Linked DNA regions of Arabidopsis thaliana. The protein of the gene in region 3 interacts with the protein of the main gene of each other region in a pairwise test. Each region holds a gene or a part of one and is shown on either strand. Other genes may lie near its edges. The genes, in order: MAP70-5, WOX12, AT2G39100 and AT4G01090.

Evidence for each region.
Region 1: the proteins of AT2G39100 (region 3) and MAP70-5 interact in a two-hybrid assay, tested with the Arabidopsis thaliana proteins (one large-scale study listed by BioGRID).
Region 2: the proteins of AT2G39100 (region 3) and WOX12 interact in a two-hybrid assay, tested with the Arabidopsis thaliana proteins (one large-scale study listed by BioGRID).
Region 4: the proteins of AT2G39100 (region 3) and AT4G01090 interact in a two-hybrid assay, tested with the Arabidopsis thaliana proteins (one large-scale study listed by BioGRID).

What each region holds. Positions count from the first base shown.
Region 1 is NC_003075.7:9,654,473-9,662,405, reverse strand, and holds MAP70-5 (microtubule-associated proteins 70-5), read left to right. Parts: upstream 1-2,829; 5' UTR 2,830-3,000; coding exon 3,001-3,061; intron 3,062-3,157; coding exon 3,158-3,243; intron 3,244-3,399; coding exon 3,400-3,465; intron 3,466-3,564; coding exon 3,565-3,735; intron 3,736-3,819; coding exon 3,820-4,146; intron 4,147-4,228; coding exon 4,229-4,375; intron 4,376-4,467; coding exon 4,468-4,539; intron 4,540-4,607; coding exon 4,608-5,039; intron 5,040-5,114; coding exon 5,115-5,266; intron 5,267-5,370; coding exon 5,371-5,398; 3' UTR 5,399-5,754; downstream 5,755-7,933. Other genes in the region: SCL13 (SCARECROW-like 13), read left to right, coding at 1-1,188; AT4G17215 (Pollen Ole e 1 allergen and extensin family protein), read right to left, coding at 5,981-6,258, 6,348-6,522. UniProt on the Arabidopsis thaliana protein: Plant-specific protein that interact with microtubules and regulates microtubule dynamics. May play a role in anisotropic cell expansion and organ growth.
Region 2 is NC_003076.8:5,879,028-5,888,140, forward strand, and holds WOX12 (WUSCHEL related homeobox 12), read right to left. Parts: upstream 5,744-9,113; 5' UTR 5,535-5,743; intron 3,727-5,534; exon of another isoform or gene 3,603-3,726; 5' UTR 3,576-3,602; coding exon 2,966-3,575; intron 2,658-2,965; coding exon 2,479-2,657; intron 1,567-2,478; coding exon 1,549-1,566; 3' UTR 1,416-1,548; downstream 1-1,415. Other genes in the region: MYB56 (myb domain protein 56), read left to right, coding at 1-44. UniProt on the Arabidopsis thaliana protein: Transcription factor which may be involved in developmental processes.
Region 3 is NC_003071.7:16,314,975-16,321,711, forward strand, and holds AT2G39100 (RING/U-box superfamily protein), read left to right. Parts: upstream 1-2,381; 5' UTR 2,382-2,487; coding exon 2,488-2,858; intron 2,859-2,938; coding exon 2,939-3,076; intron 3,077-3,183; coding exon 3,184-3,238; intron 3,239-3,377; coding exon 3,378-3,634; intron 3,635-3,825; coding exon 3,826-3,895; 3' UTR 3,896-3,913; intron 3,914-4,020; 3' UTR 4,021-4,413; downstream 4,414-6,737. Other genes in the region: APC7 (tetratricopeptide repeat (TPR)-containing protein), read right to left, coding at 345-404, 540-624, 749-858, 1,300-1,362, 1,458-1,592, 1,870-1,920, 2,012-2,080, 2,191-2,259; AT2G39110 (Protein kinase superfamily protein), read left to right, coding at 4,796-4,814, 5,055-5,431, 5,527-5,790, 5,870-5,992, 6,070-6,594.
Region 4 is NC_003075.7:468,978-477,130, forward strand, and holds AT4G01090 (hypothetical protein (DUF3133)), read right to left. Parts: upstream 4,903-8,153; 5' UTR 4,424-4,902; intron 4,311-4,423; 5' UTR 4,272-4,310; coding exon 2,470-4,271; intron 2,383-2,469; coding exon 2,322-2,382; intron 2,229-2,321; coding exon 2,005-2,228; intron 1,915-2,004; coding exon 1,857-1,914; 3' UTR 1,529-1,856; downstream 1-1,528.

The DNA.
Region 1 (7,933 bases), on a different chromosome or scaffold from region 3:
CCCGCTGCTGGGAAGTCGTGGAACTGGGATGAACTTTTGGCTTTGACTCCACAGTTGGACTTGAAAGAGGTGCTGGTGGAGGCTGCTCGGGCAGTCGCTGATGGGGATTTCGCTACAGCGTATGGATTCCTTGATGTCTTGGAACAGATGGTGTCAGTCTCAGGCAGTCCGATCCAACGGCTAGGCACTTACATGGCAGAAGGGCTTAGAGCGAGGCTTGAGGGGTCTGGGAGCAATATATACAAATCCTTGAAATGCAATGAACCAACGGGAAGGGAACTGATGTCTTACATGAGTGTTCTCTATGAAATCTGCCCCTACTGGAAATTCGCGTACACAACTGCGAATGTTGAGATCTTGGAAGCAATAGCTGGGGAAACCAGAGTCCACATTATCGATTTTCAGATTGCACAGGGATCACAATACATGTTTTTGATTCAGGAGCTTGCGAAACGCCCTGGTGGGCCGCCGTTGCTGCGTGTGACGGGTGTGGATGATTCACAGTCCACCTATGCTCGTGGGGGAGGACTCAGCTTGGTAGGTGAGAGGCTTGCAACTTTGGCGCAGTCATGTGGTGTCCCGTTTGAGTTTCACGATGCCATCATGTCTGGGTGCAAGGTGCAGCGGGAACATCTCGGGTTGGAACCTGGCTTTGCTGTTGTTGTGAACTTCCCATATGTATTACACCACATGCCAGACGAGAGCGTAAGTGTTGAAAATCACAGAGACAGGCTGCTGCATCTGATCAAGAGCCTCTCCCCAAAACTGGTTACTCTAGTAGAGCAAGAATCCAACACAAACACCTCGCCATTCCTGTCACGGTTTGTGGAAACACTGGATTACTACACAGCGATGTTTGAGTCGATAGATGCAGCACGGCCACGGGATGATAAGCAGAGAATCAGCGCAGAACAACACTGTGTAGCAAGAGACATAGTGAACATGATAGCATGTGAGGAGTCAGAGAGAGTAGAGAGACACGAGGTACTGGGGATATGGAGGGTCAGAATGATGATGGCTGGGTTCACGGGTTGGCCGGTCAGCACATCTGCAGCGTTTGCAGCGAGTGAGATGCTGAAAGCTTATGACAAAAACTACAAACTGGGAGGCCATGAAGGAGCGCTCTACCTCTTCTGGAAGAGACGACCCATGGCTACATGTTCCGTGTGGAAGCCAAACCCAAACTAGATTGGGTAAGTTATAGTGATGATGGTTACTTGAGTGGATAAAGAAGAGCACAACAAAAACACATCTGTCGCTGTAAATTTTTTAGGATGTGCAATGATGTTTTAAGTTGTAACACAACCTAAGTTATATATGTATACAAACCAAACCTGGTGGTTGTTTTTCTCTTGTAAATTGTCATGTGGTTGTGGGTGGGTTGCTAGTAATGAAATATAACCAAAACATTGATTAGGTCATTTTATGATCTTCTTCTATATATACCGGTATAAGTCAACTGGCGGCTGAACAAAGGTCGTGAGGTAACAAAATATGAGACAAATCTACAGGTCAGATTGGGTTCTGAATTCTGATAAGGTCTTAAAAAGGAGCTCACCAACCCACAAAACCATGGATTGAACAAGTACAGGTCATTGCCTTCATTTTATTCTTTACTTTTCTAAGGCTCAAGCTTCCTTTATTGCCTTTAATAACAATATACTAATGAGTATTTTGCACTCAGTAACAAAATTCAGGAGAGTAATTTTTTGCCCTAACATGTTACTTTTATGTGTTAAGAGTTTAGAATTTTGGATCTATGATTTTAGTTTTTGTTAGGGAATCATATTCATATAAATAAAATATTGCCATTGACTTAATTGTTGTTATTCACCTAATTTCTCTCCAAATTTGGTCATTTACCTCAGTTGATTCTATATTATACTTGCTAAGTGTTCTTTGTCTAATTCTCTATCATTGTTTGATTTAATAATAACCAAACCTTAAGACTTGGAAGCAAAGAAGAGAGAAAATCCCAATTAATTTTTAATAATTCAAAGAGAGATATTGAGTGACTTCCACTAATACAAAGAAAGCTTGGTTTGTGCAATATTTTGCGGTTAAGCTATTAATTGCTGAGGCAACACCTTTTCACACTTTGCTTTCCTTCTTCCAAGTTTTCAACTTTTCTTTCTTACTCTTTCTATTAATCAAACTGCAACACAAAAATCATTTGGATAATACATGTTTAGAAGATGATTAAGCTTTAGTTTTATTTCAAGATTATCATAATTGTTATCTGTTGTTACCTACATTCATATAATCTTATCAAAAACGATAAAGACAAAAAGGGGATACAATATAGGTTTTTATTATAAAGAAACAGGAAAGAAAGAAAAGGGTTTTCACCAAACGAAATTAGTTCAATCATTTAAATTATCTTTATCCTTATGATTAGTGTCTTTATATCTGTCATATGCTGCTTCTCCTTCCAACTTCCTTTGGATTATATTCTCTTCTCTTTATTTTAATTTCCATTTGTGGTAGCTGTTTTATTTTTTGTATTTTCACGCCGTGTCCCTTTAAAATAATATTAACTACACCACTAATGTTGGAACATGAAAAACATGAATGAGGTAATTATGATGATGAACCAAATGTTAAGGACAAGCTCGGTGTAACTAAGAAGATAATTAGTGAAACAGAACAAGTCAATAACTTGTAAGCATTTCAGAATTGAAAATAAAGATAAGGGAGGATGAATATGAATTTAGTAAATGGGTAATGAAAGTGAAAGAAGAAGAGGGAAGGGTTGGTTACTGTCTCAAGGGTTTGAAATGGAGACGGTTGCTTGAGAATGAGGAAAAAGAGTTAGTAAGTTTTTAACTCTCTCTTTCTCTCTCCCTCTCTCTTTTTCAACGTCAATTCCTTTAAGGAATGGCCTCTCTCTCTCTCTGAAAGTGTGTGTGTATATATTAAACGACTCCATTTCTCCTCTGCTTAGACCAAAACTCATCTTCTATACTGCAACAAAGAAGGAGGAGCCGTTGAGACTACAAAATGACTGCAGCAGAAAACCCTTTTGTATCTGACACCTCTTCTCTGCAAAGCCAGCTTAAAGGTTCTTATTTTTCTTTCTGTTTATTGTTCATCAACCCTTATGAGTAATTTGCTTGATGTTGAGGTTGTTCTGCTTTCTTTTAATTCCACTCTGCAGAAAAAGAGAAAGAGCTTTTGGCTGCTAAAGCTGAAGTTGAGGCTTTGAGAACAAATGAAGAGCTCAAAGACAGAGTCTTTAAGGAGGTAACATGCATGATGATCATCAACTCTGTTTGTGATTGTTCTACAAAAACTTTAAGTCAATCTTACCTATAAGTTTTTTTGATCAATGTTTTCCATATTCAAACTGTCCTTTTTGAGCTTCTTGAGCTCTATTGATGCTACTTGGTGTTGTTTCAGCTTAGAGAAAACGTGAGGAAGTTGGAGGAGAAACTTGGAGCCACCGAGAATCAAGTTGACCAAAAGGTGAGGTTTTGCTCAAATACTATAGACCATCTTTGTGAAGGACTCATGTCAAAACATTAGAAATGACTAGAATAAGTTAAGCTTGTGACATGATTGTAGGAGTTGGAGAGGAAGAAGCTAGAAGAAGAGAAGGAAGATGCATTGGCGGCACAGGACGCTGCAGAAGAAGCACTAAGGAGGGTTTACACTCACCAACAGGACGATGACTCTCTACCCCTAGAATCCATCATAGCTCCTCTTGAATCTCAGATCAAGATTCACAAGCATGAGGTTCTTAAGACTATATGTATTTCAAATTTCTTTCTTGTATCAGTGTGAAGTGCCAGATTTTCTTGACATGCTACTGTTTGACAGATTTCTGCACTTCAAGAGGACAAGAAAGCGTTGGAACGTCTAACAAAATCAAAAGAATCGGCGCTTCTTGAAGCAGAGAGAATCTTGAGAAGTGCCCTTGAACGTGCTTTGATTGTTGAAGAGGTCCAGAACCATAACTTTGAACTTCGACGACAGATTGAGATATGCCAGGATGAGAACAAGTTTCTTGAGAAAATTAACCGCCAGAAAGTGTTGGAGATTGAGAAGCTCTCCCAAAGCATTGTAGAACTGGAGGAAGCGATCTTGGCAGGAGGAACAGCCGCCAATGCAGTTCGAGACTATCGCCGCCAAATCTCCCAGCTCAATGCAAGTGTTCTGTTTAGTTTCTTGTACTTCATTCTCACATTTGTTTTAAAGGAAAATCACATGATTTTTTCATCGTTACCAGGATGAGAAGAGAACCTTAGAGAGAGAGCTAGCCAGAGTCAAAGTGTCAGCAAGTAGAGTGGCACTTGCAGTTGCTAACGAGTGGAAAGATGAGAACGATAGAGTCATGCCTGTAAAGCAATGGCTTGAAGAGAGAAGGATTCTCCATGTACTCACTGCTTTTCACTTACACATCCAGTTAATACACACTGACTAGCTTATATGGGAAACATTAGTGTTGAACTTTGTGTCTGTGTGCAGGGAGAAATGCAGAAATTGAAAGATAAACTCGCTGTTTCCGAGAGAACCGCTAAGGCTGAGTCCCAGCTAAAGGTGATTGCTTATGTAGTTAATATTCTGTTGGTAAAAAGTGTAGTTTCTAATGCAAGTAAACATTATAGGAGAGGTTAAAGCTTAGGCTGAAAACCATAGAAGATGGCTTGAAGGGCCCAAACACGTTTTTCGTCTCTCCAACTACAAAGACTGAAAAATCTGGCAAGATTTTAGGATTCTTGACCAGTGGTGGTGGCTCAAAGAAAAGGTCTAGTTCTCAGCTAAGAGGCTCAGTTACAGGCAGAATCCATGCTATGAATCAGCCAATTGACAGAGTTGGGGAAAGTGATGAAATGGAGAATTCAAAGATTACTGCAAACGGATTGACTGATCAACATGAAGAAGATAGCGAAAGGAAAACAGAGGAAGATGGAAATGTTTATTCTGAAGATATGGTTTCAGGGTTTTTATATGACAGGCTTCAGAAGGAAGTGATTGCTTTAAGGAAGCTATGTGAGAGTAAAGAGGGTACTATAAATGCCAAAAATGAAGAAATCAAGGTAACTTCATCATCTTCTTGTGGTTGTTTAAGATCCTCAACTATATGAAACCTCTTAAGATACCTCTGTTTTTAGATGTTGTTGAAGAAGGTGGATGCTCTAACGAAAGCCATTGAAGTTGAGACAAAGAAGGCAAAGAGGGAAGCCGCAGCGAGAGAAAAGGAAAACGCATTGGCAATGTTGAATGAAGAGTCAAAACTATGTAGAAAGGCAAAACTACCGAGAAGGTTTGGTCATCACATCCTTTGTTGTTTGTCTTTGTCTTTTGAGAAGTATACATAGTCAAACATCAAGACAGTTGATATTTATATGTTTATGCTATGTTGTGCAGCCGCATACCCAATCCACGTTGCCAGTAGAGGAAGAAGAAGCTTATGGGATTGAATACTAAAGAATATGGTCTAATGTTAGGTTGTACTGTACATATTGAGTATTGGATGATGGATTATAAGAAAGTGAAAACTAAAGATCAAGAGATGTGTATGTGTGTTATGTATATCGGATTGCAAAGCCATGTTTCCAGATGATGACACAAAACTCCTCTCTCTTCTCCTACCAATTAGTTGAATGTTAGCAATTATCTTGGAAACCTATAAGTAAATCAGAATCAGCTAAACACAAAAACATGCATATTCTCTCTCAAAGTCATACATAACCATATATGTCTTCTCTCAGATTTTTTGGTCTTGCCTTGGTTGTTAGGCTAACATAACAAACTTTGCATCTAATATATATATCATAATCAGTTACAGGATCGTATGATCTCTGTAGTAGCAAGAAGATCCAAGCTTGAAGAAAACATAAATTTTATTATATACAAGAAGAGCATGAAGAACAAGATTTACAAAGACTATCTCTCTTTCTCACAAGAAGTGAGAAGGAACCATATAGAAATAAAGTCAGGACTGATCTTTCCTAGCAAGATTAATTTACAGTCTCTTTTACATGGTGCTCTCTTGTAAGGTGATATTTCCAGCTGTATAGACACGAGAGCCGTTGGAAGAGGAGAGGAGTTGAATACCTCTGTGAATCTTGGAAGAGCATCGATACGGTTTAGGGACAGAGAGTGTTTTAATGATACAAGCCTTGTCTAAGTCAGGAATCGCGTGGAGGTGAGAAGGAAGATCGATGACGAATTGCCCCAACTCATTTGTCACAGCTTTGATCCATTTAGATCTCCTCCTATGTCCAGTATGGCACTTGAAGCCAATAGTAGCTCCTGTATGATGATGATGATGTGTTAGAAATCTCGTAGTATATAATATAAGGAATACGGACCAATCCACTTATTACCAACTGGTTACGTACCATGAATAGGGGAGGAGGAGGAAGAGAGAAGAGAGGCGGTGAGAAGAACAGAGGAGAGTTTTTGTTCGCCGTAGCCAGCCATCTCCACCATCTCATCTCTGCTCCATCTATCACTAAATGCTTCCCCAAACGTCACAATTAATACCAACGTCATGCTCATCAACAAGAACCTCATCTTTAATCTTCAAGGTCGTATATATGTGAAAAACTACCAACTGGCTTAGAAATGGAACAAGCAAGGATGTGTTATATATATACACACACAAAAATGAATGGATTAGTTGAATAAATTAAGAATATGAGATCCTTATTTTGCTTTTTTATAAGTAAAAATGCCTCTTCCATAATTTGACTTTTATCTTTTTTGGTCAAATTATATGACTCCTTAATTATATATCTCCTTGCTTATATAATAGTAGAAATTACTTGTTTGCCTAATCCTTCTTTCTTCTTCTTCTTTTCTTCTTCTAGTTAATAAATTTGATCAATCTTTGATCAATCTTTGGTCAAATATCAGTACGGTATGCGACGTTTCTTCTTTACAAATGTCTTTATTTTTTTAATATTATGTTTCAAAGTCTAACCTAAATTTAAAGTCACAATTGACAAATAATCAAGCCTGCCCCAACTGTTTTTCTTTTCTTCTAGACATTTGTCTTTGTCCCAAAGACAACTTTTTTGGGAGAGTTCTTGTGTGGGTTGGTTATCAATAATCTCTCCAAGGATAAATACAAAAATGTTTATTTGAATGATGTGTCTATGATGACCTATCAATATTATAATTTCATTCAATCTCTATTTATTGCATTTTCTCAATTATAACTACACAAAAAGATCAACAATTTCACATAATTATAGTGTTATCTTTAACTAAAAAGTGCATCAGGCTTTTATTATTTATAGCCAATATATATATATATATATATATATAAATATATAATTGTATATTTCATTGTTATATATATATATAATTGTATATGTCATTGTTATGTAATTGTGATAGTTACCAAGAAGGAAATATCTAATTGTTATTTTTAAAGTAGAGTTATTTTTTTTGTTGACGTATCAATGCAATATATATAGTTTTGTTAATTAAATTATTTTCTATAGATAATTTCTTACAAAAGATATTATTAACCAACAACTGTTGATAAAATGATAGAAATAAAAATAAAAATAAACAAATTATATCAACACATACAAAATGTATTCAATAGTTTTAAATCAAATCTTAATTAATTAAAATTTTCATTTCAGTTGCACAACTATAAACATATTAATAACAAATTTGATTTCTTAAATAGTTTTCAAAAGTGTTACACAAATAAACCCAAAAGGAATAACTAAGCAAGGGGTTTAGGTGAACGGTACGGTACACAAATCCGAACCAAATCCACAAAATGACCACCAAGCACCAAGTTTAGAATAGCCGGTCCAGATTCTTTACTAATAAACTTCTAGACTCAGGTTATATTCAATTATTCATCTTAATAACGAAATTATCTTATTTCTAAATACTATAATGTATATATCAGTATATAGACATGTTCTTATTTTAGGAGTCAAGATATTGATGTTTTGAGTTT
Region 2 (9,113 bases), on a different chromosome or scaffold from region 3:
GTGGCTATTACTACTTTGATTTTCTTGGAGTTGGAGCTTCCTGATTAATTAGTTGCAGAGCTAGGGTTCAATGCTGAGGAATTGTGAGATAAGAAATGGCTTTAGTTTCTTCTATTTTTCCTGGTTAATTAGGCATGTTTGTTTAACATCTTAATTTGGGTTTTGGAAGAAGTAAGCGGTATGAGGGAAAACTGAAAACAAAAACAAAACCTAGAAGTAAAATAAAAAGTTGAATATATAATCAACCTCTTTTCTGTAGAATTAGAATAAGTGTTCATAAAATATTGCAATTTTCCTTACTCACACACGCAAATTTAACATAGATTATGAAACAATAGCAGTAACTAAAACCAGCGAGTTATTTTTGTTGGTAAATTACAAGCTTTGATCATAAACCTATTGCATTTTATAGTGCATTACATGAAGGATGTTATCTGCTATTTTTGGAATGTCACATATATAAATAATTCAGGAATTTCTAAGTAAATAATCAACGTGGGAAATGAGTTCTTGTTTAAATTTAAAATCTCAATTACTCGGCTCGGCTCGGATCCCTATTATCGGATACCAGCTACATTGTTAAGTTGGGCCTAGGACTACAAAAGAAACCCATATATAGACGTACCTTTCATTTACAAAGGGTCCAAAAAGCTCACATAGAAGTGGGCTTACTCGTTTCTTGTCGTAATTTTGAACTTAACCCTACCCTTCTTTCTCTGTTCAAAAAAAAAAAAAAAAAAAACCCTACCCTTCTTTCATTATTATATCAAGTTCACAAAATTGACATCCCCAAGAAGAAAAAATGGTAACTAGCGATCTGTGTCGAGTACTGTATTTGTACTAGTGTACTTTACAAATTGCTATTCATATATAGAAATATACGCACTTTGTTAGTGATATGATTATGATTCGCATTTAAATCATTATATTTGATTTTTCTGTTTAAAAAAAAAATCATAATCATATTACTTACACACTTTACTTTTGGCTCTCTCATTCCGTCATTCATTTAGTTCTTTTTGTTCGTTTAATTGTTCACTTGGTTAGTTAAGAAATTAAAAATGTTCACTTGATAAGATATGTTAAATGTTATCCTCTAGGATAAACAGAAATAATAATCCTCGATCGAGAATGGTATAAAGTACCTTAATACCTTTCATCCATTGGATAAATAGATTAGATCAGCTATGTACTAAGATGATCTATTTACATCGAAAAATCAAGATTTTTGTACATACCAGTTTAATTTTTTGGATTATCTTTAAATATATCAAGTCCGAGGGACATCTTTTTTCCACAAACTAGATCTCTAATTAAGATTTGGCTGTGGAAAAAAAAAATATTAAGATTTGGCTTGTTTTGATAGATAAGGTTTGTGTTCAGGCGAGCAAGAATCGACAAGAAAGCAAAATATCTGACGAGTCCAACATTTATTTAATCTTTTTATTATTACTTATTTGTAATCTAATTATACACGATAGACACGAAATCAATAGAGGTAAAAAAGAAAACAATCGACCGTATATGTTCCCACATAAAACAGCCAGTTCATGTCTGTCTCGGTACCTGTCGATGACAAAAGGAAAACAAATAAAAACAGATTCTTAATTAGGGAATAATTAGAGCATTTTAATTCTTAAAACTGCTAGTTCACTAATTACTGATAATATTGAAAAATGAAAACCCTAACGAGAAATGGTTTAACATCATTTTATATATCCACCGTCTATTCTTTTTTCTTCTTTTTTTGAGCAAAGACACCGTCTATTCATTTGCCAAGAGAGAATATAAATTCCCAAGGTCTCTTCGACCAATGAACTCAATATTTTACAAAATTACTCAAAAGTGGAGTTATTGGTTCTTGTGTTTTTGGCTATATTCTTTATTTTTAAAAATAAATAATATATACTACATATTTATATTTATCAAAACTTGGACCAAATAAAAAAGGTCACATATATACATCCATATATATGAGCTGCATCAATCCGTAAAGCTTAGTTAAATCACAAAACTTCAGTTACAGATATTAATTTCTACAAAAACGATATTCATTTATTACATGCATAAACCGACAAACATCAAATTGATTTATATTTTATTATATTTTCTGCAGAAATATTTTTATGTTATAGTTCCAGAGAGTGAGATGGGTTCTTGAGGTTAATTTCTGCAGACATTAGGACTTGACTATTTATTAGGCTTAAGACCATTTTCTACACACTTTAACATACTAATTTAATAGGAAATACACATAATATCTTATGGTATTTTATTTACAAATATAACTATGGTTTGTTGGGTCAAACAATGGTAAAAATAATGAATTTAATCATGAGAAAATCGTTTTCGGATGAACAAAAAAAAAGTTTTAAACAGAAAATAGGTGTGGAAATCATTAATGAAAATATTAACCATGAGCATTTTGTTATCGTGTATAAATTAACAATAAAAAGTGAATTATATATTATTAGTTACCAGGAAATAAGTTTGTCCATGTTGTAAAGAATGCATCAAGAAACCAAACTCATCAGTGGGAAGAGGAAGACCAGAGGAATGAAGTAACACCGAATCATCACCGAACATTGTTTTCATGTCTATTGCTCCTTTTGTTACTTCCATAGGAACTCCGTTTATAAACACCGTCATAAACCCTTCTGGAAAAAAAGAAAAGAACAATAGATACAAGAACAAAAATAGAGATTTGAGAATTAGCTTTCAACATACAAAGTTAGCCTAACATAAAAATTTGGTTTTAAACCCTCATAGAAAAAATGGTTGGCTCTTTCTTTTTCACTTTCAAAATTTTATTTATATAAAAATTACTCATCCAAATATTTATAGTTTAAATGGTTTGAAAAATGTTGATTTAGTTGGAAAGTATCCCGGTTTAAGATCTAAAAACTCAATGTGTATTACGGTGTTAAAAAAAAATATGAGCCATGCAGATGAATGAATGATTCACCTTGTTCGTATTGGGAGTTGGAGTTTTGATCAGATGGGTTTAAAACTGATGCAGCATTTGAGCTATGATGCTGCTGCTGATGATTATGATCAGATTCATGGCCATACATTTTGAAGAGATTCTCCATACCATTGTTGTTCTCACACCCACCACTTGAAGAAGAGAGGCCGAGGAAAAAGGAAGGGATTTGAGATGACGACGATCCATTAAGGAAGTAATTAGCTGATAAGTTGCTACAACTTCCAAACCCCAAATCAATCTCGTTGTTGCTGCAAGGATATTGATGCATGCTCATGGCCGTCATGTGCTGGTGGTCTTCAGCTCCTATGGAGGTGGCGGCTGCGGTGGTGGCTGCTAAAAGCTGCCGGTGTCTCCGGCGAGATCTTGACCGTCGGTTTTGAAACCAGTAGAAGACGTTTGCGTCTCCCACAGCACCGAATTTCTCAAGCATCTTTCTTATCCTCACCGTTTCATCTTTTGGTGGGTTAACAGTACCACTGTTGAAGATGGATTCGAGTATCAAGATTTGCTCCGGTTTAGGTGACCAACGTGCCCGGACTGGTTCGGTGGAAGTGGAGGATGGGCTATGTGAAGCACCTTCTTGATTCATTTGCTATCAAGATTCTTGTTTTTTTTTCTTCTTTTGGTTGGATTATGGATTTTAAGAAAAAGAGAAAGGAGATGTTGTGGTTACTTGAGGGAAGATTTATGTAATATGTATTGAATATATACAGAAGAGAGATTCTCAATGAGTTCTTTTTTGTTTTCCTTAAATATTAAGTTACACTATTTTAGTGCTCTCACTTAGAATTAAATATTATATAGGACACGGTCGAATATGTTAACACGTATTCCGAGAGGCAGAGGGTTAAAAACTGTTCTTGTATATCATTTGATTGTATAACAAAACTAACAAGAAATGCTTCCACCATTGCATTATTGGACCAACTCACAAACAAACCCTGGTTAACGTTTTTCTCAGTTTTGAATTTACAATACAACTTTTATCTGTGTTCTCGGATTGATAATATTCACACCCCAAAAAATGTATAAAATTTGCAAATTCGTATAGCAAAATATGATTATACATGCAATTGTGAAAACACCGGTTATTATTTGTCTTGCTTTCTGCTGTAGATATGATCAAGATGTTTAGCAAGTTATTCATAAATTTATCTTTATTAAATAGCAAATAATTGTACAAACCTCGGGCGATCTGGTTGCTTTTTAGATATAAATGTGGACAATAGATTATCGACGTCATGCAACAGAGTTACAGAGGCCAAAAAGATTTTGTTTGTCAAGTAGAACTTGTCTTTGATTGAGATTTTGATTGATATGACAAGTTTGGGAATACCTCATGCACATATATAACAACATTAGCCGATCAAAAATCTATGTACGTACTACGTAGAGTCATTTTTAAATATTTAACTCGAAAAAATCATGTAATAATTAATATAATAGAATTTATTTAAATATATCATAGTTGAGCGAGAATTTATAAACTAACAATAAAAATGACAAGAAATAGATACTTAGGATTTTGTTTCACCTTTGAATTTAGTGTTCCAAGTTACGTTTGCGTTGTATCTGACCAATGACCAATGAAAAGTACTTTACTAGTATATCCACGAGAATTACTTATTAGTTCAAGGTGGTACAGCAATCAATATATCTTTAGTCCATTACATTTTAGAATTCGTTTGCGTTTATTTTAGAATACAAATTAAATACTGGATTAAAATGGAACTTAAGTATCCTGATCACGTCGCTATATGATCGGATAGACCTTATTTTAGCTGGTGTATATTTAAATCCATTAAAATATTATACGATAATTTTTCAGAAGAAAGATAAAACAGCTAAAATTTTATAGAACTTTTTCGTTACGAGCAGATGTAAAAATAATAAAATCTAACGTTGTATCTGTTTCATGATTAAAGCATCATTGTCTTCTTCTTTTTTAACTCAAATCATTGTCTTTTTAACGTGTTTTAAACTATTAAATCCAAAACTCGAATTAAAGAAGAAAATAAAAATTGTAAGCTATGTCACGAATCAACTCTATAAAAATTGATTTGATAAAATGATTTATACTCCTTTTTTGACAATAACATTTAACGTTTGATTTTAGAGTACAATATTAATAATATTTATTTTTTAACTACCGCCTTTTATTTGATAATAAAGCTGTCCGTGTACCGTATGTGTACGTATTGGTTAGTGTGCATGTACGTATGCAAATATAATATACGTTAAAAGTTTTAAGAGTGTTGAAAGATACAAGAGGCGACAATCTGTTTCTTTCAGATGCATTCTGGTTTTTTGACGATTTATGTTAATTGCTTAGCTGTTTCAATTTTTTTTTAATTCTCTAAAAAAGTTCAAGTATCTGTATATTTAATTTTCATACTTTTTTTTATTTTAGTAAGATCTTATATCTTACTAAAAGTACATATGTCATGTGTGTTAATGTTGTTATTGTGTGTTTACATCAATATTCAAACATGCATATAATATATGCTGATATTAACAAAAAAAAAACAAGTTTTCTTTGTACCTTTACTTTATCTTGTTTTTTTTTTTTTTTTTTTTCACATGGCAACCTTTTAAAATAATAACCATCAAGTTATCCGGCGTGTTTTTTTTTTTTTTTTCAAAATTCTCTAATCTTAAATTGTTAGTGATATTTTTGGTTAAGAATCTCTAATGAATTTTTTTTTATCCGTGAATAGGTACTGGTAGTCTAATCTTGATCTACAACAACCTAATCGGATACTCATAAATTAGACCTACCACTCTTAATATATACACACTTTTACTGAAATTTTTATAATATTTGTTTTGCTAGGTTTTAGAATTCCCTTTTAGAATTCATGCCCATGAGGAAACAGCCAAACTACTACTAGCAGTAGTGTGAACTAATCATCCCGTGACTTCTTTAAAATAAAAGGAATCAAAACAGCTAAATAACTTACGTCTGCTGCACAGCTGTTTTTTTTTTTCTTTTTTTCTTACATCATGCATATATTGTAAGCGGTAAAAGATTATGCAATTATTTAAAAACACATTTTTATATTACCGAGTGCGACTGATTTGATACAACTGGGTATTACTTGTCTTTTATAACTTCTCTAGCTCCTTGTCCTTTTTTCTTCCTTTTTTATGTTACGTTCTATTGAATTTCTTAAGGGCCATTGTAACCATACACAGACAAATTATACGATCTCTATCCACTTCCCATCATCCAAAACCACAATCCCAAAATTGCTTTTGGGACGTTGGAGACTTGAAGTAAAACCCAATATATACATATTACATATATTGATGCACTTAAATCTTTTATAACTAACTACGGTTAATCGATTAGTTTTTTTTTCTGAACACGTGTTAATCGAATAGTTATGAGCCAAAATCCCTATATTTTCTCGTTGAATTTTTTTTTGTCTTCATGTCAAGTGGAATCGAATTAGGAAGCTCAATAACGTTATAATGTTTGGAGGATCCGAAAACTCGCCACTGGTCCAAAACTCACTTAGTAATGGACCTATATATATGTTTTGTTAAACTAAACAGATAAATTGATATATTAAAATCCTCAAAAACGGAGTATCATATAATAAAATAATACTTATTAGATTCATATATAAGACGTCTAGGATTAAAATACAAATGAGTCTCTAGCTACTCTGCAGTTAATATCTTGCCCACAATACGTCATGACGTATTAGAAAATAAAAAATTGACATTGGTAAAAGTCTTATAGTAAGAATAAAGTAGACCCCTAGGGATCAGGCAGAAACTGTACGAGGATTCACAAAAGTTACCTTTAAGCCACTCTCTTTGTGGTCCTGAAGACCAAAATCTTGTAAGATTTTGAGACTTCTTTCTTCAGAAATCTTTCTTATGTGGTCCTGCTCTGTAACATGTACGGTACGGACTCTCCCATTATATACCTGCATGATGTTACTAAGACATACCCTTTATTATAATATGTATGAGAAGATGTGTTGGACATATGTAGTGTGTAAATAATCACTAAAGGTTCTGCGTTTGTATTAAACAATATTTATTCTTTAGCAATACAATTAACCATTAATAACCAGAAGAAAAACTAATGCTACTGCAGAACGGCAAGCATAACCGTGACAAGTGCATTTGATCACTTTTCGTGTGCTTTCGTGAAAATAAATTTAAAATCTTTAAAATCTCAAACTGTATTCGATTCTATGCAAAACTTGTAGTATAAAATAGCTTAAATGGTTATATATATATATATATATATGCATCATTATGTTGCATAAAGAATATATAGAGCAGTGTATATATGAACATATAATTAACAAAAAAAAGATTTTATATATGAACATATAATTAACAAAAAAAAGATTTCAATCAACATTGTAAGTTAGTTTACACAAATAGAGCTGATGCATATGAAGCAAGTTTTGTTGATTTGGCCGGTGAATCTGCAGAGCACTCATAGGGGCACTAAAAGTAACTAGAAAGAAGACAAAATTAATATAGGGGAAATAGAGAACACATATGTCATTATAATTTTGATATGCATGCATCCTGACAATACACATGACGATCGCTTTTCTTTTTACTCTATCTGAATATAGGGAAGTATACACATTTTACTCATTATCTAATATTTATAGTCAAAAGCCAAATTTTTTATTCACTTCTCACTCCACTTTTGCACACAATCCTTAATTAATCCATTTTATTGTACGGACAAATATTTGATAGAGTGACCTATCACCTAGATATTTATCTCACCCACAAACATAATATTGTGTGCAAAAAAAAAAGGCCGGTTCTTTTTTTATCGAAGGACGATTTTCTAGCATTTTTTCACCAGGTTTATCGTAAGTTAATCATGAGGCTATTATTCCAATGATTTTTTTAGGTTTTCAGGTATTCCACAAACATAATATTGTGTGCAAAAAAAAAGGCCGGTTCTTTCTTTATCGAAGGACGGTTTTCTAGCATTTTTTCATCAGGTTTATCGAAATTAAGTTAATCATGAGGCTATTATTCCAATGATTTTTTTAGGTTTTCAGGTATTCCACAAACATAATATTGTGTGCAAAAAAAAAGGCCGGTTCTTTCTTTATCGAAGGACGGTTTTCTAACATTTTTTCACCAGGTTTATCGAAATTAAGTTAATCATGAGGCTATTATTCCAATGATTTTTTTAGGTTTTCAGGTATTCCACAAACATAATATTGTGTGCAAAATGATTTATCATATTTTGTAAGAAAATAGGTGCTTTTTGGGGTGCAAAGTGTGATATATACATTAAACTTTGGCCAGGCCAATTACAAGAGAAGTCAAAGACTCCTTTGCTTGAGAATAGGCTAAACGATTATAGCTACGGTCTACGGAGAGTGAAAGTGAATGAAATTACATCAAGAAAATAGGTGCTAACATTTAATATATGTATAACTAGAAAATAAATTTTGGCGACGTACAAATTTGTAGATGTATGCGAGTCTTCAGCTAAAAATGCTTACTAAAAGGTGTTGGACAGTAAAGAGGCCCCATTAAAAGCTGGGATGCTTTACTTAGTTATAACTTAGCCCATCTCAAAGCCCATATTACTATTATTATCCTTTTTTTTGTTGTCGTCAAAGCCCATATTATTATACTCACCAAAAATGCATGAATATGTTTGTGTTTTTCTTTTTTGACAGCAGGATATGTTTTCTTTTTAATTTATTTTGATAATAGATTTCTTTTCTAATTACTTAGATTATATGTCATGCTGAAAATTTAATCCAGCTAAGTCTATAAGAGTAGAGTTGTAGTTAACTAGGGATAGAATATGCATATTTTTGTTTAAATTTTACTTTATTTATTTATTTATACTTAGTTCGTTTTTGCTTATAGAGTGACAATTTTATGAAAAACAATATTCATATATATATATATATGATTAACCATGATAAAGATACATATCAATATTTCAATATCACAAATTATTTGTAAACTTAAGATACATCCACCAAATGCAGACCAACAATATAATATATAGTAATCTTTCTCGAAAATCGAAACCATCCAATTTAAGAAAAGCCTTATTTATGCAAGAAAACCCCAACCAAAACCAAAAATGAATTAGTAAAAATATAAAGAA
Region 3 (6,737 bases):
GCCAGGTATGCTACAACATGAAACCAATGAAACATCCATCCAAGAAAAGTTATGTGGAGTATTAGTTTCCTGGTTAAATAGTCGAGCTTCTACTAACACAAGAACATCAAAGCACTACTTTGTTAAAGGGAATAATACTATTAAGACGATTTATTCACTTTCCACACATGAACAGCTTGAAGACAGAATTCTTAGAATCATTATATATGAAGTCGTATTCGGGGGAAAATAGTTGATAAAATAAGATTCTAACTCACGTACAATAATCAGCTTGGCGGCATGATTAATGAGTGTACTTTCAAACAATTTTCAACGTTGTAAATCCTGTTAAAGAGTAAGCTTACTTGCAACCAGCGGGTAGGATCTATCTGATCGAGTGAAACCTTTGCACTTCTATTTGAAGTCTGAAATGAACAAATGACACAACAAATTACAAAGTTGTATGGATTTCACACAGAAAAGGTAATTGCAAAATAGAGAGAAAGAGGTGCAAAACACATTTGAAGAAGTGGTGAAAGAAATCTCGTAGAAAGGGACACCTGAGTAAACGATGATATGATATCCTTTGCACTAACTCCCAGTTCAGCTAAACCTATGACGGCTTCAAGTACATAAGGACACTGCCTGCAGAGATTAAAGATTATATATATGTTTACTATGTGTTGAATTGGTATTTAACGTAAAAAGTGAGATATTATAACAGTGTTTCTATGCTAGGAAATGTTGGGAAAGAAAACGAAAAACAGACCTTAAACACTCTTTATAAAAAGCAATAGCACCACGGTTGTATCCAGAATTTCGATGAAGCTTTGCCATCAGTATATTCATCTCTAAGCTCCTGGTCTTGACAGATTCCATCTGGCAAAGAAATAACAAGTGCAAAAATAGATTATAGCTAAGCAGACCATGGCTTTATCATCCCTAATACCTACATGCAGTGTTGGAAGGAATCCAATTAGTTTACTTGTTTTGTAATATGGATTTGCATTGATGGGAGCAGGTCAACGCAACAAAATTCAACTCACATTCAGGAATACTATAACAATGCATTAGTTACGGCCCAAGAATGTTTCACTGAAATTACAGTTACTTAACTCTGGTTATAAAATACAATAGCAAGACATAAAAGTCATCCTATACAAAACCAATCTATAATCTTAGAAATAGAGAAATCCCTAGACAGCTCTTTTACCGTCTCATACACACATATTTTATTTTCTATATACCAAAGTTTCTAGACCAACAAATCCAGAAGACTAAATAAATCTTGAAAACCAGACAAACAGATGACACTCATACCTCAGCAATCGCAGCTTTTGTTTCATTAAGAGCAAAGTGAGATGAAGCAATCTTGAATCTCACCTAAAAGGAAAGTTAGAAAAAGAAGATGCACATGAACTCCAATGAAATTAAACCAAACCACATCACTTTCTGGAAACTGCAACACAGTTATTTACCTCGTTCTCATTAATAGCAGAAATGCTGGAGGCATTCACAGATGATCTGGTAGATAAAGATAATGAACTCCTCGAAATACCGGAGCTTTGCTTCGGAATCCTTGTGTAATGATGCAACGCTTGCTTGTACGTATGCTGACAAAAAGAAGGAATACATATTCAGAATTTCGAGATGACTTCAAAGTAATCCACAGGAAAAGAATAAGCAATACAAATATAAAACTTATCTCTGCTCACTCCATAAATTCATATAATCAGAATCTTTACAATTTTATCATAATCCAGTCAAATTCAAGTTCCGAGAATGATTTATAGAGTTCAAATTTGAGGCAGAACTAAACTATCGAGAACTGAGTAACATTTCCTTCACAGCAAAAGAGAAACATAAAGAATGAAACTTTTGAGAACTTACAATAGCTCTCCGGTGTTCTCTCTGATGAAATAAAGCATCACCCAGTAGAATCTGATTAAAAAACACAGAAAGAATCTAACTTCAATCTAACGGACTCAGCAGCTACTAAAATAGAAAATATCGACGGAGAAAGAAGCTTAACCAAATTCTCCGCCTTGAGCTGAGGACTAGTTTCGGCACTAACAGTAGGAGAAGAAACGAGAAAGCAGCCCTGGATTTAGTTGCATATATAGAGAGAATTTCATTAGCTCTTGATGAAAACTAGGGATTTAGAAAAAAAGAGATAGACAATCAAAATGAGCTAAAAGCTAGAGAAGTTACGAGCATTTCAGCAGAATCGTAAAGCCCATGCTCTATTAAAGTCGCGATCTGCTCCTTTGGAACCTCCATTTCAGAGACAAGAGAGTTCGTCGTTAGTGGCAATGGTGAAGTTTTTTCTTCGGAGCAGCGATGAAGTAAAAGATCCTTCACGCTCGCTCTTCATTTTGAAACAAGAAATCTCGAACCGAGTCAACCCAAACCGACATTAACCGGTTATCTATCTGAAATCCATCTCGGTTCATTAAAACCCGACTTTTCCAAGAGCCCGACTTCACCGAACAATCTCTATCTCCGGTCATGCCTCCATTACCGTCCTCCACGGCGCCTTCGTCTTCGAGACATCTTCGATCGCCGGAAAGTATCGCGAAATTTGCAGGGAGAGCAATATTTCCTGCTTTACAGGGGAAATCGTGTCCGATATGCCTCGAAAATCTAACCGAGCGAAGATCCGCCGCCGTGATCACGGTGTGCAAGCACGGATACTGCCTTGCTTGTATTCGGAAGTGGAGCAGCTTCAAGAGGAATTGTCCTCTTTGTAACACTCGTTTTGATTCCTGGTTTATCGTTAGTGATTTTGCTTCTAGAAAATACCATAAGGAGCAATTACCAATTCTTCGTGATCGTGAGACTTTAACTTATCATCGGAATAATCCTTCCGATCGCCGGAGGTTATCTCTCTCTCTAAGATCCTCTCTATGAAGTTAAAAATCACTTCTTTATTATATTCACTTGGTTATTATTTCATTAGGATAATTCAAAGGTCGAGGGATGTTTTGGAAAACTCTAGCTCAAGATCAAGGCCATTGCCATGGCGGAGATCATTTGGACGACCAGGTTCAGTTCCTGATTCTGTTATCTTCCAGCGAAAGCTTCAGTGGCGAGCTAGGTTGGTTTACTATTGATTCTAACTCTATAGCTTCATTTGCAATCTCCTTTTTCGAAGTGTTAGATTAGTTCGCCGTTGTTTCTAACTAGTGTTGGCTCTAAATACAGCATATACACTAAGCAATTACGAGCTGTTCGATTACATTCAAGGCGCTTGGAACTAGTAAGTTTCATTATACAATGTGTTCTTCTCTGTTTGATGTTTGTAGTATTGGGGTTTACACTCTTACATTATTGGATATATGTTCACATTGGAAGCCTTATATATACCTGCTTCGTTGTGTCATCTTGGATTATTGTAGAGTTTGGCGGTGAATGATTACACCAAAGCAAAGATAACTGAAAGAATTGAGCCATGGATTAGAAGAGAGCTTCAGGCAGTCCTTGGAGATCCTGATCCCTCAGTTATTGTTCATTTTGCGTCAGCTCTTTTCATCAAAAGGCTTGAGAGAGAGAATAATCGACAAACCGGGCAGACCGGGATGTTGGTGGAAGATGAAGTCTCCTCTCTTCGAAAATTCTTGTCTGATAAGGTGGATATATTTTGGCATGAACTAAGGTAAGATTTTTATACGCTAGGGTTTTTTCAGAGTTTCAAGTAGTTACAGGTTTAGTATAGTAGTACAGAAAACACATAGGCAACCTAAACCTAGTGACTTGTAAGTCTGAACAGATGATAGAGCTGATATCTGTTTGGTTTAGGTTTTTTGGTCATATACTATTTCTGATGAGAAAGAAAACATTTTTCAGATGTTTTGCGGAGAGTATACTCACGATGGAGACTTATGATGCAGTGGTTGAATACAATGAGGTGGAGTAATAGCAGTAAAAAAAACAGGTAAAGAAATTAGGATATGTATTATGTGGGTTTGGTTTCACTAAGTAGGAACCTGTTTTGCTTCGATGGTTTTTTTTCTGAAGTCATTATGTTGTATTCGCTTGCAGATAACCGAGCACTATGCTCTCGTCAAATGAAGTAAATAGACAGACTTACAACGCGACTGTTGGTGTCTTGGAAGTTCAATAGTGGAAAGACTGGACCAAGTAAGAGAAACCAAGAGTTAAAGAGTAGGTAGGAGGAAGATGTTGAGATGATGCAAGTTTAGGTGTGGAGTTAGTTTTGAGATAGCTATAGGTGGATTCTCAAATAGCTGACACTTAGTCTCTCTACTTCCATAATGTACGTCTCTTCTATACCAAAAATTCTCACCCCCAAAGTTTCTTTCCAACGCTTTTCCTCACCTCATCATTTTTTCTTACGTTTCGAGTACCACCTATTTCAACAACATTAAATATTTTCTATAATTTGACTATCAATTTTTAATAAATTAAAACTATACATAGTTTTAGATAAATTACACGAAGCTTCCATAGAAGAGGAAAGTTCATTTGAATTTCTCTTCTAAACCGTACCTTAAAGATTAAATGGTGAATATACACGGGGAAATTTTTTTAATAAACAACGCGTTCTCTATTAAGGTATTGATTGATATAAGTAAGCAAGCGGGTGTAACACAAAATAAAATATTATAAAAGGCTTCTTCTATAGGTTGGTAAGCGGCAATCCAGCTGCCATTGCCTATTTGACTTCCCCCATTCGATCATGGTGAGCTCGTCTTCTCTCTTCTCCTCTTATCTCTTTCTCTACCATTTTCTTTTGCTTTAAAGCTCTCTCAATCATGATCATGAAGACCCCCATCACAGCATTCCATTCATCCTCATGAATAATTCTACATCAGGTTTCTTCTCTTTCCCTTTCTGATTCTCAACACTCTTACCACATTTCTACTTTTGTGTTGTATATCGATTTTTGTTCTACATTCTTCCAAATGTCAGGGAATCTAGTTGAAATGTGATGATTTTTGTGTTGATAACTTGATATCTGGTATGGATTGAATGATTGGTGATTATCTCTGTTAATTCATCTCTGATCGTGTTTCTGTTTGTGTTGACTTGGAATGTGGACCTGGTTTGGATAGTGAAGAGGCTGGTTTCATCTAAGGCAATGAAATGTTTCTACTTCAGCAAAGACAAAACTCAGGATGATGAAGCTAAGACTAGAAAGTTTGGTTCAGCTACGATGGCTAGAGGAGGATCAGGGTCTGAGTTTAATTCAGATACAAGTACTGCTACTTCCATTACTTCTTCCTTGCACGTCCTCTCAGAGACACACAGTAATAATCTCAAAGTATTTGTCCTCGATGACCTTAAAACCGCTACCAAGAACTTCAGCCGCTCCTTGATGATCGGTGAAGGTGGCTTTGGTGGTGTCTTTCGTGGCGTGATTCAGAACCCTCAAGATTCTCGTAAAAAGATTGATATTGCAGTTAAACAACTTAGTAGAAGAGGTCTACAGGCAAGCAAATCTTTTTCTCTCTCTTTAGTTTGCTTCTGTTTTACACAACCTCCTTCAGTACCCAACAATAAAAACAACTACGTATGCATTAACAGGGGCATAAAGAATGGGTGACAGAGGTAAATGTATTGGGAGTAGTGGAGCATCCGAATCTGGTGAAGCTGATCGGTTATTGCGCTGAGGATGATGAGAGAGGGATCCAACGGCTACTTGTTTACGAATACGTACAAAACAGAAGTGTTCAAGACCATTTATCCAATCGTTTTATAGTCACTCCTCTTCCTTGGTCCACCAGACTGAAGATTGCTCAAGACACTGCTAGAGGACTCGCTTATCTTCATCAAGGCATGGAGTTTCAGGTATCTTCTCCATCCATGATCACAAATGCCTTTAAACCTTTTTCATATGTTCTTGAAACTATACTCATCTTATATGCAGATCATCTTTAGGGATTTCAAATCCTCTAATATCCTTCTTGATGAGAACTGGAATGCAAAACTCTCGGATTTCGGACTGGCTCGAATGGGTCCTTCAGATGGAATCACTCACGTTTCCACCGCGGTACGCTACGCCTTACTTGTTATGTCTCCATTGATTGTTTGAAACAATTGAAGTCTTACCAAACTATGAATCTACAGGTTGTAGGGACCATTGGTTATGCAGCACCGGAATACATCCAAACAGGACACCTCACGGCTAAGAGCGACGTGTGGAGCTACGGAATCTTTTTATATGAACTCATCACAGGAAGACGACCTTTTGACCGTAACCGCCCAAGAAACGAGCAGAACATCTTGGAGTGGATCAGACCACACTTATCCGACATAAAGAAGTTCAAAATGATCATCGACCCAAGACTTGAAGGAAACTACTACCTCAAGTCAGCATTAAAGCTAGCTGCAGTTGCTAACCGGTGTTTGATGGTAAAAGCGAAAGCAAGGCCAACAATGAGTCAGGTTTCAGAGATGTTAGAAAGGATAGTGGAAACATCATCAGATGGTGCTCCTTCAGGACTGCCATTGATGAAAAGCTTGACACCTAAAGATGCATTCGAAGCCTCAAGAAGGGAGAGAGTTAAGAGAAGATTTGTTGAACTGTTAATTGGAGAAAATGGTTGTCCCAATTTACCTACTTGGTCTCATAAACTTGTTACTTCTATTTGATTTTTTTGAGAGAACAAACTGATAATCACACTGCTTGTGTTATGCCAATATTAATTGCCATTATAATCACTTGTCGTTTCTATAAATAAAACGGCCCGCAGTTTTGCCCACAATAAACGCCGTGTCGTTTACATCTTAAAGTA
Region 4 (8,153 bases), on a different chromosome or scaffold from region 3:
AAAATGAAAAGAGGGAATATTATAGTACAACTATTCACACACCATGCAACATTGAATATACTGCGACATTGAATATACCATCACCCTGGAATTATGTTAACCACAGTCAACAAAAAAGAAAAAGTTAATTAGCTCTGTGTAAGAAAAAAAAAAAGAAAAATTTAATTAGCATTGTTGTTCCAAGATTTTTTTTTGTCCAAGAAGCATATATGATTATAGGCTAAATTGTTGGGCATTCTTTTAAGTTATAACAAATATTTTTGTAGATTTCTTTGTGACAGCAATATATATTGGAAATGGAATAAAGAATATTTCAGGATTTGTTTTTTACAATTATGACTTTTGATAGTGAAATTCTGATTAAAAAATTCAGAAAAGTTTTTTTTTTTCAACTTTGCTTGAGGAATCCAAAAATATGTTGGACCAGCCCAGATGGTCTCATTGTCCTTGTGTTTATTAATCACATATTAGTAATAACTTGAGTTTTTTTCTTTTAATTTATGTGAAGAAGCACATGCCCTGCTTTTGGTCCTCACACCTTTTATCTCAACTTAGGTGGTATACTTGTATCTCCACAGCCTTTCGTTACAACAATATCAACCTTTCTCTTGAATCTTGGAACTTAGCAAACACGGAAGCACCACACTTTTTGATGATATATTGGGTTATTCAAAACATTGCTATGTTTGTGAATTCATGAGACTTATTAGTTATTAGAATGATGCAGGTAACTAGTTTAAATATTTGGTATAAGTTTAACAATGGTAGAATTGGTTTTTAACATTTGCGTGAATGAACTAACACTAGTGTTAGTATATAAAGAGATATGAAACATTCTAGTGACTCCAATTATTGCTAATAATATTTTATTTTATTTCTTCATTGCTAAAATTTTTTTGTATTGAGAATTTCTTGATTCCTCACAATTTTATTATTAGTGGACAACTTCTGCTTACTCGTTTTTCTCATGCTCGCTACTAGTTAGTATCTTTTTGTTCTTACTCTAATTTTGTATTTTTCTAAGAAATATTGAAACATGAAAACTAAACGAACGGACCACGAGGCCTGTTAAGAACAGATTCTCTTTCTTGTTTGATATTGATATTGATATTGGGCCCATGAGTAAGTTATAATCTGTTGTCTTGTATTTTAGGAAGGACCCACTTCAGAAACGTGCAAAAACTAGTCCATCAGCCAAGAGAGGAATTAGCAGACAATATGAACATTTTAGTGGAAAGAAAGATGAAACCGGATAACTAACCGATAGATAGATAATCCCAATCCATAATTCACCTAGAACTCGAGGAAAGGGCAAATCAAGCCTAGAAGCTAATCATGAAGAAAGAAAGATCAGCTAGGAGAACATTGTTTAATTGAATTGTTGAGTATGGTCGAATGACCTACATATATTGTTGCTGACATGAAAGAAACCTACAAACCAAAACCGGTTTAAATAAACGATTTAGTTAAACCAGAGATAATAAGGAATTAGGAGGAGTAAACCATGTTATCGATGAAGCTTCTGTTACAACTTACAAAAGAGCAATAAAAGAGATAAAAAAAAAAGTCATTAAGAGCAAACTAATATCATTCCATAAAAAAATGGAAATAATACAAAGCACAAACCTTGTACCGAGAGAACCCGGTTTGTATACAGTCTATAACCCCTAAACCGGTTCTGGTCGCAATAAAAAACATACAGACATTTCCCCAAAGATATTTTAAAAAGAATACCAAAAATCAAAATCAAGATGTAAAAAACACTTTACAGTTGTGTTTAACAAATAAATAATATGAAGATGGAAACAAGAAGCAGAATCATATTTTGGTTGTGTAGTTGTTACTAGGGGGAGTTTTCATGAAGCTAATGATCTTGGAACTCTCATACCAAATCCATGCTTCACTTTCTCAATCCTGTTTCAAGTTTAACACACTAAAACTTTAGAATCTTAGGTGATCTCAAAATCTCAAAAGAATAAAAATCATTTGTGTGAATCTGCTTACGTTGGGGCTAATTTGCCAAGGCTGTGAAGTTCTTCTCCTGAATCTTGATCAAGGATTCTTCCTGATATATCAACAATGTAAGAACGGTTCTTGTCTCTAGGCAGACCACGACCCACAAGTAACTCGAAATCTCTCTTGTGAAGCTCTCTTCCATTCACAAACACGTCTGTGTTTCCTGCAGCGCAGTTATCCAGCATTGGATGGCTAAACTCTTCAATAAATGGCTGCAACAACAACAAGTAAGTCAACCATTTCTTCATCAATTTGATGACACCATTCCAATAATCAACTTGAGAGAACAATGTGAAGGTACTTACAGGTATTATACCGAGACACGGTTTGCCCATCACTCCCCAGAACCCAGCTCGGTAATCATACCTGAATCAGAGACATGTATCAGAAACTGAGTAAAGGGAAAAACAAAAACAAGAGAGAAACAGTGGATGCTGAAGTTCATGGAAGTACCAATACTTTCCAGCTTGGATTGGTCCAGCTAATTTCTCAGCACTGCTAACAAGATCTTCTGGTATAAGATGTCCATTAACCCAAACCTCTAATGACTTCATCTGGTCTTCGTTTTGATCAGTAGAGGACCTCGTTGTGATCTCTGTCGAACCGTACTCACTACCCTTTCTGTTTGAGTACCTTGAATCTTCTGAGATCTCGGTGTTAGAGTATCCATTGTAAGAAACCTCTGTCTCTGTAGCTACTGATTCTGGTTTCAGCGAGTCCTGTGTCATGAAAGACTTTTGCTTATCTGGCTTTTCATAACCTAACTGCGCCATTCCATAAGCGAGTGCAGCTCTGTTTACATTAGAATACTCAAAAAGTTCAAGGAGACTGGCATTATCAGGAGCAGCGGGTTCAGGTGCTTTTGACCCTTTACCTCGCCGACGAACAGATTTGACCTCCTTCTGTTGTTGTTCACTAGAATTGCTCGATCTTTCTTCATCATCTGAGTGTTGAGATTCAGAGCGGACGCTTTGCGTAGTAATAGTATCCTGATGATTTCTCAGTTCTTGCACTGGTTCTTCTTCATCCTTACGTGGAATATCTCTACCTGAGCTGTTGAAATCAACAGAAGAGACTTCCTCCTCTATCACTACTGTGTTTGTTGTGTTTCTATCTTCAACCTCTAGAGAGACCGGTTTTGTTTCCTCATTACCAGAAGAGAAAACGAGTTTCCTATCAACGATTGTGAAACTAATAACTTCAGAACAAGCACCGCACTGCAGCTTATGTAACCTTTCCTGAGACAAAAGCTTCTTCTTAGGCAAGTAAAGCAGCTCAAAGCAACTATGACAAGCTATAAAAGGAGCACCACCAGCAAGAGGATGACAACGTCGAACACCAGTATCCGATACAGCTTTCTTAACATACCCACGAGCAAAAGCACCGCCCATTTCAGAATCATGTTCACTCGGCCACCTTGCATAACCACCTCGAGGACCTGGAGTGCCCATCGAAGAAGGAAAACTCGAACCGTTATTAACACGTGGACTATACGGTGTCGTGAGTTTCTCGCCACGATGGTGAGACGAAACCGGGCTATACGGAGGCATATCACTGTACTGTGTAGCGAGTTTCTCTTCACGATGGTGAGACGAAACCGGGCTATACGGAGGCAGGTCACCGTACCTACCAGGAGTAGCTGGATAGTAAGAATGTGGCTCAACTATATCAGGACCAAGTTCAACATATTGACCTCCAGGATACTGACGAGCCATCTGATTAGGGTAATGACCAGGAGGATACCAGTTTGGATTAGGAACTGGAGGTGGTCTTCTTTGGTACCCATAAGGATCTTGATAAGCTTGAGGATACATTCCATGAACCGGTCCAGGGTATTGAATAGGTTCTGGATACTGATGGTAATAAGAAGGACCAGGATTATGATTAGCATGACCATGAAGATGAACTGGTCTAAGGAAAGGCTGATTCTGATCTGGTTCTTTAGGTTTATCAACTACATTATTACCACCACCACCACCGCGAAGTAGATGATCTTTGATAGAATCTAACCTTCTTAAAAGCTCAGCTCGTTCATGCTCTGTATACTCAATAGGGTTGTTGCTGCTGCTTGTGTTCTTAGATGAAGAATCTGATCCGTAATTAGGCTCGTCATTTCTCAAGCTTTTTCCAGATCTTTGAGACCCAGCTCGCGAATTTGAGTGTTTCTCCTTCAGACTCGTTTCTTCTTCGCTTCTTGAAGAACCAGCATCTGATCTCGTACCTTCTGCTTCAGAGACATCGCCTCGCGACCTCATCAGCCACTATTTCTAGGGTTTTGCTTTGTTTTTTTCCAACTGCGATTCAAATCAAAAAAGTTTCGATTTTTTATCAAATTCGAACTCAAAAACATATATCTCCGATTGAATTCAGATAAAACGAAGAACCAACAGGTAGAAATCAAACGAACCGTGAAGAATGTCGTCGGCGATATAGGTGAGAAGACGAATTTGATGATCTTCTCCGGTGGGAATAAATGAACCAATCTCTATGATGCAACCAATTTTCTAAAAAGGGGTTTTTGGAAAGAAAATTCAGAAGAATTAAAAGTCTTCTTCAATTGCTTCTTGGGGGATTAAATGTCTGCTTACTTACTACCAAACTTGAGCTGGAAGGTTTAAGCAACAATTAACATTATTATGTTAATTTTCTTCTAGCGTTTTTCCTTGGCTTTCCCGGGAATCTTAAGGGAAAGACAAAAGAAAATTTGATGAATAGATTTGAAAACTTAAGGAGGGGAAGAAGATGGAAGCAAAAAATCAAACTTTGTTAGCGTTGATTTGATATTCGTTTTTTAAAACTTTTGAGTAAAGAAGAGATGAGCGCGTATGTAATGTAAGTAAGCGCGTGAAACTAGAATTTAGACTGTAGTACGGTTGAGCGGACCGGGTCTCGTTGACTCGCAGATAAGGAGACTAACCAAATTATTACTAAAATATACGAAATCTAGAAACATGAGTGTGACTGTTTACCGACAGGTAAATTAATACGTTCTCAGATATCGCAATTTTCCAAATTTGTGAACTTAATTACTAAGAACAATTCAATTACTCGGGAAAAAAACATTCAAATTTAGAACTTACGATTACTAGTAGTATTTGATTTTTCAATATATGCCAATAAGCAGCAATAGTTATTTTCTAAAACTAAGACGACTTCCTATTTTCGTACTTTTGTGAGTGTGTTTGTACGAAAACAGACCAGCTAGTCAAATGAAATTATACATTGAGCAACCTTTTTTATATCAATAATACTAGGTCTGGTCATTCGGGTATCCCTATCTGTTTGGTTCTTTTTTGGATATCAAATCTATTCGGATATGAAGAGGTTGAGAACCATTCAGATATTCTAAAAACTTGGTTCGATTTTGGTTCGGATTCGGATCGGTTCGGTTGTTTTAGTAAAAATATAAAAATAACCAAAAATATCAATAATATTTTCAGATATTATTATAATAACCAAAAATACCCAAATATTATTATAATACAATTAAAAAGTAAATAAAAATAGGAAAATATCACTTTATATGCTCAGAAGACTGAAAAATTAGGTGTAGGAATTGTGGACTATTTCAACAGTAAAAGAACTAATGAAGTTACTTTATTATTCTTCTGTATTTTTCTTTTTTTTAATTAAAGTCTCATATATTGTTTTGTTACTAAATATTTTCATTGTTATCATCAGGTTAACCTCGTTAACAATTATTAGTAAATATTATGTATAAATTATCCGTTACAGTAAACATTATTCATGTATCGAATATCTTAACGTTTTCATATAAATATTATTCTGTTATATAATATATTAGCATGTTATCATTCTATATATCATGTAGTTATAATTATTATCATGTTAATTATATAAAAAAGTCTAATTTCCTTTTATTGTGCTGAATATACATAAATAAAAAATTCTGATTTACAATTTTAAATCGATAAATATGTTTTAACAAATAATTTATAAACTTATCGCGATATCATAGTTTTTAAAACATTAAACAAATAATTATATACTTATCATCCGAATATTACAATTATTTTTATTCAATAGCATTTTTGTAATTAATTTTTTTAAAAAAAATTTTTTGGTTTATATATTATTTATCTTTCATACTTACCTAAATAACTAATATTTATATATAAATTCTTTATTTTTTCATCATCCTCCCAGCATATCGATTAATATAGTCCATAAAAATACGTCAAGTTTAATGCTTCCATGTTAGAAGACGTGCTCTCAAAACTTCTTCTTTTGTTTGTTTTCTAATTCACAACTTGAATCTAAAAGAAACCTGGATCCTAAACGTTGAAAAATATTAACCTCGTAAACGAAGACTTGAAAGATATATGGGGAGTGTTATATGATCACATAGTGTAGGTCGCCTTCTGACTATTTTTGTGGTTTATACAAAAAGCTACGTACAGCTGTAAAGTCTTCTACTCTGTGTCTCTGTCTATCATTTAAAGATGGATTTATAGATAGTCCACTTTCCAACACCAATCAGATTTGACAAAAATATTAACATTGCATTTTTGGGATAACTATCGTTGACTTTTTTACTACCTATTTTATCGGTTAGTTATTAGACTAAGGAAACACAGAGTTTAATTGACAGAACTTCTGAGCTGTTTAGGCCCGTAATTCTTTCCCTAATTGATAAAAGGGCCCTATTTGTTTAGGTGCATAACAGGCTTCATTATATGGGCTTAGAACGGCCCGATTTGTTTACATGAAGACTTTTACATTTTAATAATTTGAACTTGATCATGTAAGTGAGTATGAGTAATGAGCTGGTGAACTTTTTTTATGTGTGATCTACATAATTATCACATAGAATAATAGCCATAAGGCTTTCGGTATTTGATTCTTATCAACTGTGGTCCGACATCTACTTTTATACACACCCACTTGTTTTTTTGTTAAAGGCTTTTTTCTTTGTTTTGAAAGTAATGATAGTGTATATAACTAAACATAAAAACTCGATATTGATTTGTTGTTTTGAGTATGGACCCTCCAAAACATGAAAAGACAAGAAACAAGATTGATGGCATAGTTGCAATTTTCTTATACATTATATGATGGGTCTGATTGGTAACCAAAAGGTATACAAGATTTTTAGCTGTTAGATTTATCGGAATAGTGCAAAGCTGTTAGAAGGAACTATACAAAGAAATTATTAAAAAAAGGTGAGTATAAAACTTTTAATAACACTTTTGATAAAGTTTTTGTGATTGGTAACTTTCAAAGTTATACAAAGCTATACTATTATTATTGTGGTTATCATTCAAACCCGATATCATCTTGGAAAAAGTTAAAATCTCTCTCCGCTATACTTAACAAAAATAATTTTTTTGGGAAAATTATTTTATCTTTTTGTCGTTCCTTCCATATTAAGCCCAACAATATTTAGATAAAAATATAGATAGAACTAATTTACAGTCTGTGAAGTATGTAGTGTGAAAGTATTTCAACTTTTTTTATGATCCCAAAATTGATGTGGTTACGAAAACTTACTAGTATTACAAAGACTGGAAGAAGTAACCAAACAAATGGATCATACTGACCAAACGGGATCAAGCACTAACACAGTTGTACCATTATCACGTGGCGTACATATATGGAGAGAGTATATCTTACGCACTTAGTAACGCGCGTTAGATAACACCTGATGGTACCACATCATAAGAAAACTTTGCAAACAAATCCTTAAACTAACAATTGTTTCTGCATACACCCCTTGACTTAAAATTCTTAACTTTTTTTTCTACACTAACTTCTTTAACAATTGAATAACGAGAGTGTCGAAATTCGAGTGTACAACATTTTAAAACTGTTTTTTTTTGTTTTTAAATCCTTAACCTCTTAAATATAATATCAAGTGTATAATTGTTTAAATCTTTAACCTTTTAAGAACTTAAAAGATAGGTGACGTTGAACATAATTAAATATCACTAAAAAGAAAAAATCACAAATGCGGCTACTAATCGCCACACACTCAACTTCACCGCTGACGTGCAGATTTTTAATCAAATGAAGAATAATTTCGCACATTTCGAAGTAAAAGGGCTATTTTACAAAACATGATTAAGTCAAGGGGTTGGTTTGCAAATATTTCACAACAGAAATGTGCCATTAAAACG